Linked DNA regions of Ovis aries. The protein of the gene in region 1 purifies or fractionates together with the protein of each later gene. This does not show direct contact. Links are inferred from orthologs where the notes say so. Each region holds a gene or a part of one and is shown on either strand. Other genes may lie near its edges.

Evidence for each region.
Region 2: the proteins of FLII (region 1) and LRRFIP2 purify together in Homo sapiens (affinity purification with mass spectrometry; 3 studies listed by BioGRID and IntAct, with this or other methods). This does not show direct contact. The link is inferred for Ovis aries from reciprocal best matches to the Homo sapiens genes FLII and LRRFIP2.

What each region holds. Positions count from the first base shown.
Region 1 is NC_056064.1:34,133,874-34,138,179, forward strand, and holds the start of FLII (protein flightless-1 homolog), read left to right. Parts: upstream 1-1,420; 5' UTR 1,421-1,448; coding exon 1,449-1,511; intron 1,512-1,717; exon of another isoform or gene 1,718-1,822; intron 1,823-3,021; coding exon 3,022-3,132; intron 3,133-3,482; coding exon of another isoform or gene 3,483-3,520; coding exon 3,521-3,592; intron 3,593-4,306. UniProt on the Homo sapiens protein: Is a regulator of actin polymerization, required for proper myofibril organization and regulation of the length of sarcomeric thin filaments. It also plays a role in the assembly of cardiomyocyte cell adhesion complexes.
Region 2 is NC_056072.1:10,384,397-10,388,729, reverse strand, and holds the start of LRRFIP2 (leucine-rich repeat flightless-interacting protein 2), read right to left. Parts: upstream 2,913-4,333; 5' UTR 2,679-2,912; intron 1-2,678. UniProt on the Homo sapiens protein: May function as activator of the canonical Wnt signaling pathway, in association with DVL3, upstream of CTNNB1/beta-catenin.

The DNA.
Region 1 (4,306 bases):
AACCATTAGACATGCAGAACCCAGAAGTACAGATGGCTGGGACCTCAGGCATCTTTGCCAGGCCCTGCAGGCTGAGCCCCAGCTCTCAGGCCCTGAGCACTGAGGGGGGTGTGTGACCAAGGGACAAGCCCAAGGGACCAGTCAGATGGCCAGGCAGAACTGTCACCCTGAGGATGCCTGAACAGATGACGCTGAGCTCAGAGCCAACTCAGCCCCAATGACTTCTGGCTGCCCTGCTCCCAGAACCGGGTGCCGGAGCCCGGTTGCCAAGTGGGGCCTGCAGCCCCGCACCCATCCCCCTTTCCCAAGCTAAAAATAGGAAAGACAGCGGAGGGGGTTGACCCAGCATGGCCCGGCGGCGGCTTCCTTCATCAGGACTGCCAACCGCCTCCAAACTGTAAAGCGCTCAAAGCCCCTGCCTGTCTGACCTGGGGCCCGCAGACCCTAACCAGGGAAGGGGAGAGGGAAAGGCCACGCCTCCCCTAGCCTCCTCCAAGCCCCGGCCGCGAGGACACCGAGGCCCGGGGAACGCCAGGATGGGCCCAAGAAGCGACCAGAACTCGGCTCGAGCCGGTTCTCTCCCGGCCGGAACCGCGCGGCCGATAGAGGCCACGCCCCGTGCCCCGGCCGTACCTGCGTCGCGGCTTCGGCGCCCCAGCCAGGGGACTCAGGGGGCCGCTCGGGCCGCGCCCCGGGGCCGCCTGGGAATGGAACGTGCAGGACCCGGGAGTCGAACGCCAAGGCCTGGGGCGGGCACGGGCCCCAGGCTCGCAGACGGACAGGCCCCGACTCCAATCAGAGCGCTCAAGGCCAGTGCCCACGTGCCGCCCTGAGGCGGCCTCGGCCAATGGCGGCCGAGCGCCCCTCGGGGCGTGGCTCCTCGGCAAGCTCCGCCTTAAAGGCGCAGGGCCACGCTCCAGGACTCGGCAGGTGGGAACGTGAGCTCCTTCCTGGCAAAGGAAGCATCCGGTGGGGCTCCTGGTCACTGTAGTCTGCGGCCGCCTCTCCCGTGAAGGGTATACTGGTCCTGTCACTTACTGGGACCGCTATGTGCCGGCCCAGGGAGGCCTCCCTCGAGGGGCAAGCGGGCACGTAACCGCGCACCCGGGCTGGCCTCCGACCCAGGACGCATAAGAGTGTGGGCACTGGCCCCGGAGCGTCTCCCGGAGGCTCGTGGCTCCGGACGAGGACCCGGGCGTCCTACTGCCACTGCCGCCCGAACCACCCAGGTCCCCGGCGTTGACCAGCTCAGGAACAGCCGGGGGCCGAGAAGGCCCTTTAGGGCACCGGGACACAGCGCTCCTCGAGGCCCCGCGCCCCAGGGCTGGCCCCGAGCGGCCCCGGGCTGAGAGGCGGGGCCGACGCGCTCCCCGCCCCGCCGGCTCCGCGGTCCCCGCCCCGAGCGCCGGGCCCCGCCCGCGGTCCTCTCCCCTCAGCCCAGCGCCGCCATGGAGGGCACCGGGGTGCTGCCGTTCGTGCGCGGCGTGGACCTCAGCGGCAACGACTTCAAGGTGAGCCTCTGGGCGACGGCCGGGACCCCCAGCCCGCCCCTCCGCTTCCTGCGCGCCCGGGACCGCGGACGGGCTTGCCCGGACCCCGCCCCGGCCCAACGTCCCAGGCCTCCGCCCGGCGCCCGCGAAGACAGCCCAGGCCGGGCGGGGCGGGCGGGCGCGCGTAGGGTCCCGGAGCTGCGCAGGGGCGCGCGGGGTCTGCTCACCGGCTGGGTCCTGGCGCCTGGCCCCAGCAGGCCGGCCGGGGGTCCCGGTCGGAGCTCGAGCTCGCGCCTCCCCAGCCCTCCCCGCCCCTGTGAGGTCACAGCCCAAGCCGGGCCCTGACTCATGGTTACGCCGCCGGCTCTGCGCTACCCGCACCCGCCACCCCCATCCTGTGTGGTCTTAGGCAAGTCACTTCCCCTCTCGGAGCCTCGTCTTCTCGTCTGGTGGAGAGGCTTACCTTGAAACCCCTGGAGGCGGGGATTAGTTGTGGAGGACGTGTTGGGCAGGTGGGCGAGGCCCTGGGTGCCATTTGTCTGAGCAGCTTCCGAACTGGCGGACCAGGGCGGCTGGGAACACCAGCCCAGCCTCGGGGCGGGACAGTGGTTCTTGAGAACTGAGAGTGAGGCCGGAGGGCTGGTGACCAGAGAGGAGGCCCTGAGAGATGGCCTGGTTCCAGGAGGGTCCTCAGGGTGGATGAGTGGGCTGACCCTGGCTGGCGTCAGTGGAGCATCAGCCTGGGTCTGCAGGGTCCAGTGGTCCAGGCAGTGGCTGGGGTCAGGGCAGAGGAGACAGGCCCTTTCTTCCTGTATTTACCCACACTTGCCACCGTGCACACTCCTCTGCCTCCATCCCCACCGTCCTCACCTGGAGTCCCCAAGTGTCCTCTTCAGTCTAGGAGAGTGAGTCACCAGCAGGGAATGTGGCCGTAGGGAGAAGGGGCACTAGCCCAGAGCACTGAAGGCATTAACCTCCCCAGGTTTCTGGCCACGGGGCTGGGGTCCTGAGGTGGGCATTTGAGTCTGGGGGACGAATGGGTGAGTGAACTAATGAATAAGCTATGCCTGTGTGGGAAAGGGTGGGGAGCTGGGGCCTCATGCAGGGGGTGGGTGGCAGGGCACAGGTGGGGCCTTGGCAGAGGCACAAAGTGCAGTTCAACAAATTGCACAGGCAGGGCCTGGATGCAAGGCAAAAACATTGAGTTGATCCGACCTCACAGCTGACTCTGGGGTGGCATCTAGAATAAGCCTTCCTGGGCCAAGAAGCCAGCAGGAGAGGCGGGGCTTAGGTCAGCAGCCATCCTAATCACCAGTGGGTTCTCAGGACGCTTTTGTCATCAGGGGGCTTTCATCAGCCCTATTCTACGGGTGAGAAAACTGAGACAGAGTGGCCAAGTGATGTGTCTGGGGTCACACACACAACTAGAAATGACTATTGCCCCCAAAGGCTCCCACAGACAGTGGGGGCCACAAGGTGGCAGAGCAAGGGTACCATGTCCCAGACCAGCCTCACTGTGACGTACCCGCAGGGTGGCTACTTCCCTGAGAACGTCAAGGCCATGACCAGCCTGCGATGGCTGAAGCTAAACCGCACCGGCCTTTGCTACCTGCCAGAGGAGTTGGCCTCCCTGCAGAAGCTGGTAAGAAGCTTTGGACAGGAAGGGGAGGGTCCAGGTGGATGGGGCTAGCCAGGTGGACAGAGCCTGTGCAGGACATTGCCTGTCACAAGCAGAACTGGTGGAGAGAGGATGAGCACCCTGTCCTGGGAGGTATGCAAGAAGACTAGGTGTGTGAAAGAAGAAAGGTGCAAGAGTGGACTGGACCTGGGTGGCCTAGGGTGCCTGGGTAGGGCAAGGCTGTGGTAGCAGATAGGGGCTCTGTGGGAAGATCCCTGGGTGGGGCAAGGCCCTGGTGGTGGATGGGGGCTCTGTGGGAGGGTCCTTGGACAGGGGAAGGCTGTGGTGCCAGTGGAGGCTCTGTGGACGCCCAGCCCACCCTGCTGAGCCTCTACACCCTGTGCCGGCCCAGGAACACCTGTCCGTGAGCCACAACAACCTAACCACGCTGCATGGGGAGCTGTCCAGCCTACCATCGCTGCGGGTGAGTGCTGCCCAAGACTGCAGAAGTCAAGGTGGGGACTGGGGGCAAGGCCAACCCCTCTGTCCACCCTGGTGTCAGGGGTTTGTGGGGAGAGAGCATGCAGTAATGACCTGAGTTGAGAAACACGTAGGAGAAAAGGTGAAAAAACCTAAGTCTGATCCATTTTGAACTGCTGTGATAGCTGATCCTGGCTGAGCAGCACTCCAGCTATTTCTCAAGGGTCTTTCATGTGATCCCAACCTCCACCAAGTTCACAGAGAGGACACTGACCAAGGGGGCAGGTCACTTGCCTGTGGTTTATCCCCAGTGATAAAGCTGGGGCAGGGCAGGGCAGGGGAGGTGGTCTGGATGGGTCATTCCCCCTGCTGTTCTCCATGGAACCTCCCATCCCAGATGTTCAGGCCATTCCAGTGGTCGTTCCCATTTAAGGTTGGAGCCCTGAGATGCGAAGGGCACACCTCTGGAGTCGGGTTAAAGCTGAGCTCTGCACTTTCCGAGATGGCCCTTCAGTGACCACCGTGAAGTGGCAAAGTGTCACCACACAGACATTGGGCAGAGAGGGAGCCGCAGTGGTGGCTCCTGTTTCTCCTTCTGTCAGTTGTGGCCATGGTGCCTTCCCCTGGTCTGTTCTGCCCCACTCGGCCATCCTGCCCTAATGTCCTGCACCATGAAAGCCTGAGCAGGTTTCAGCCCTAAGGGCACAGAAGACAGGCT
Region 2 (4,333 bases), on another chromosome or scaffold:
GATTCTCCAGAGAGAAAGCAAAGGCAAAGGTCTATGCAACCGCCTATTTGTAGGTACGATGGAAAGTGAACCTGTGGTGAGGACAGAATGTGTTTCCTCTAAAATGATCCTCATCAACATTCCCAACATGGTGCAGGGAGATCCCCCCCCCCCCCCCATATATTTTCGATTCTGTTCCTCTTCACACTAGGAGCAGGGTAAACAATTCACAAAGAGCTTTGCAAGAAACTGCTCCCTCTCGTTTCTAGTAAAGATCTGTTGTTGTTTTGAGAGAAAAAGAATCTACTTTGCCAAACATATTCTCCGAATCAGTTTTTCCCTTCATTGTGGAGATGCTTAAATCCTGACCTAAGAAGGATTCTCTTACAAATCTACCCATCAGGACTGTCAGTTCGGGTGGTTTCCACAAGGGATTTTCCAAAAGGGAATCTCTGTTCAACTGGAAACTGAAACTCACCATTAGCTGGACAAAAATCAAAAGCAATATTAGGGAACACTCTGAATATAAGAATGGATATCCAAGGAAATAAAATGCCAAAATTTAGTTCAAGAATTAAAAGAATTTACTAAGCAAGATCAACAGGGCAAATTTACCATTACTTAATAATTGATAATTAACTATACAGTTCTTTATAAATCAACATAAAATAAGCTGATTTCCAAAAATAGAAGAAATCAAGGCTAAGAGTATCAAGAACTCTGTGAGTCAAAGTCATTTTGCTTAGCAACACTTTAAAAGCCAAAAATGATCAAGTTACATTCCAGTAATTAAAAGTTATTTCTAATTTAAAATGAATTCATTCCCATAATGAATCACTACTTTAATATACGCTTTCTTCTACGACAGAACTGAAGCAGGAGCTCTGTATAGCCTTCCCAGGTGTGTCGGTGGTAAAGAATCCGCCCACCAGTGCAGCAGAGGCAGGTGAGAGAGCCCTGGGTCAGAAGATGCCCTGGGGGGAGGAAACGGCAACCCACTCCAGTATTCTTGTCTGGAGAATTCCACGGATTGGACTCTGGAGTCTGATGGACTAAAGTCCGCTGGGTCACAAAGAGCTGGACACAACTGAGCACGTATAAAGTCTCATTCCACCTTTTTAAGGGCAGATTTTCCCAAATGGGTAAGGTCTTTCCCTCAAACGACTGCTTGTTTTCTGTACTGCAGATTCTTTGAGTGAACTTTTTCCTACCTTAATGATGGTAGCTGTCCTTTTCACTGGCATTTATTTTGTTTCTAGACATTTATCTTCCTAGAGTGGGTAAAATCACAACAATCCACTTAGGAACTAACTGTTCTAAATCCTAAAGCTTCTGCAAAAGTCCACTATTTGTTTCTCTACTATACTTCATGACAATAATTATGAAGCAACAAACCTAACAAAAGCCTCAATGCAACACTTCCTAGGAGTGAAGGTATCTAATTAAACAGGCAGTAACAAACCTCAAACTTTCCTCTATTCCAAGTTTAAGAACCCTATCAATGATTCATTCACACAGCGAGTGACCTAACTTCCTCAATGAATCACACTTTCTGAAATTCTTATTCTACATGAGTATAATAGTCATCATCTCTACATGTGTTGAACACAGCATGAAGTTGGTTAAACTAAGTTAATTCTGTAAGACCTTCAAACCACAGCAACCTCAAGTTCCTGCCAAGTAACTTATCTGCAACACTTTGCCTTTTCCAACAATTGCACCTCTCCAAACAGATGCATCCCCAAAATAAACATTTAATCTTGAAACACTTATTTTAAACACTAATTAAGACCTGATTCATCCACACCCTGCCCTCCATCTCTCTGGTTCCACTACCGCATCCCCATTCTCCTCCCATTGTGATGCCGTGAAAAAGTAATGGACACTGTTATCCTCACACTTATCCTTCAATCAATGAACCTACACTACACTTTTTCTTTTTAGGGCATAAGTGCTGAGTCATTAAATGGAAACTCTAAGAAAAAAGAGCTACAAGCAGTTTAAGTTTAGGATCCCATTATTTCCCTGGCCAGGTCTCCACAGCCTGATATTTGTATATCCCACGGTAGAAAAACCAAAGCAAACACTTGAACTTTTTTTCCCCTCCCCGTCGAAGAAAGAACAAGAGATGGGTTTCCTTAGGTCCTTTGGCTTCCAGCAACATACCCACGGGCACGAGAAGCAGGCCCGGCTGGAGCTATATAACTTAACAATCTGGGTGTGAATAACGCCTGGCCGTAGTCAAGCATTAACCCTGACACTCCTAACAAGCGCTTGTTCTGCTCCTGCTTCATTCAGTTCGGGTCAAGGAGGAAGGGGAAAAAAAAAAAAAATCTCATACAAGCTCTACGCCCTCCACCAGCCTGACACCTTTCCCCGGGTGGCCGGCCGGGGACAGACCGAGGGAGTGGAGAGGGAGGAGGAGCCCTAGCACCCAAAGAGCAGAGACAGCGGCCCGAGTTCATTTCTCCCACAATGGAAGTATCGCCGTCCCCGCTCGCGGATCGAGGCTGCGCGTTCGAGACCCGGCGTGATGCCCGAGGACGCCGCAGGCAGGGGGCGACCTCGACCCCGGGGCCCGCTGGAGGGGGCCTGGCCCCCAGCAGAGGTCGGCGGCAGCGCGGACTTCGCCGAGCTGCAGAGGCCGGGAAGCGCGGGCCCCGCTCCCCGCCAAGGCTGGCGGGAGGAGCGGCCCTTACCTGTGTTCGGGCGCGGGCTGTGGCTGCGGGCGCCGCCGGGAAGGGCCGGAGCGCGGCTCGCCGACCGGGAGCCTGCCGGAGCTAAGGGCGAGGGGCGCGGAAGGTAGACTCGGTCCCAGGTCCCCGGCCAGGCGGGCCGGGCAGGACGCGGCGGCTCCCGGCGCCTACGGCCGGTCAGTCAGTCACGCCGGTGTCCCCTCGGCGCCGCGGCTGAGACAGCGGGAACCGGCCCCCGGGAGGAGCCGCAGCCCGAGCGGCGGGCGGCGGAGGCGGAGGAGGGGCGGGGCCACAGGGTCGGCGACCCGCTCACCCGGAAGTACTTGTGGTCGCGGCGGCGCGCGCTGCGCGACGGGCTTAACCCCCCGCGGCCGGCTGCGTGCCGCCGCAGAAGAGAGTGGGGACCCCGAGTAGGGTGGTGGCTGGGGCGGCCTCCTGAGGTGGTTCCTCCAGGTCCGCGCGGTCCACCCCGCCCCTCCGCCCCCAGGACGGGGGTCGGGAATGTGAACTGATGCGCGTGCCCGTTGGCGGCTACCCCTGCCTCGGTCACCTCTAAACTGTCCGGCCTAGAGGGCTTGGGTGAGTGGGCCGGGGCGGCAGTTCTAACCGTTGGAACGTAGGTGGGTGGGTGCGGCCGAAGCGCTGGAAGCTTTATTTCCAAAATGAATGATTTTGAAATGATTTCCGGTGAAGAATGCTGGGGGCGGGGCTGGGGGGAAAAGAGTCCGTTCAATATCTGATGGATTCGGAGCTGTCATTCAGTCCGAGAGTCTCAGTCGAGATCCACCGGCTTCAGGGCCCTGGAGAAAGACCAGAGGTCCTGCTCTTTGGGAAGCTCATCTTCTAGTGGGGTGGACGGATTTAAGCAAATAAGGTAATGACAGATTGCGGTGAGACTCCGCAGGTGATACACAAAGTGATGAGAGATCCTGTAGGCGAGACCTCTGGCAGGAGAAGACCTCCAGAGGGAAGTGGCAGTTGGGCAGCCTCCTGAGAAGAAGGCACAAAACACTTCGATACAACTTTACATCCGGGACAGTAGTAGGTTCCAGGACCCGCTGAATAAGCCCATGATTCCATGTTAAGAGCCTGGCTCGAATACCTTCTAAGGGCTGTTTGTGTGCTGCCCACCCCTGCGATTTCAGAAGGCTTGCTCACCTTTCAGAGTTCATGAGGGCTGGAGTGTGGCACTGCGAGGGAGGCGTGGATTACGGAACTGTGGTCTTTAGGCAGAGAGACACCAACAGGTGGCTTCATGGCAGGAGGATTCTCATACCATCAGCCTTGGAAAGACAAAGTCTCTAACCTCGCGCTCTTTCTCTTTCCATGTCGCTGTTTTTCTCAGACCTGTGAACAAATATTGAAACTTGTTTTTACCTGGGATCAAGAGGGGCTTAATGTCCCCAAAAGATCACACTATGTTACGATCTGAATAAAAGGATTAATTACGTGTTTTGCTAACTCAGTTAAACTAAAAAGCAGACTTGCAAGAGAGAACCTATTCAGGTACCTGAATAATACCAATAATCCAATAATGTTTATTAAGTATTAGTTTATATGACTGCATAATTAATGGAAAGACTGTTTGGAATGATATTAGGATTGGAAGGGACTTCCGTGGTGGTCCAGTGCTTAAGACTCCGTGCTCCCAATGCAGG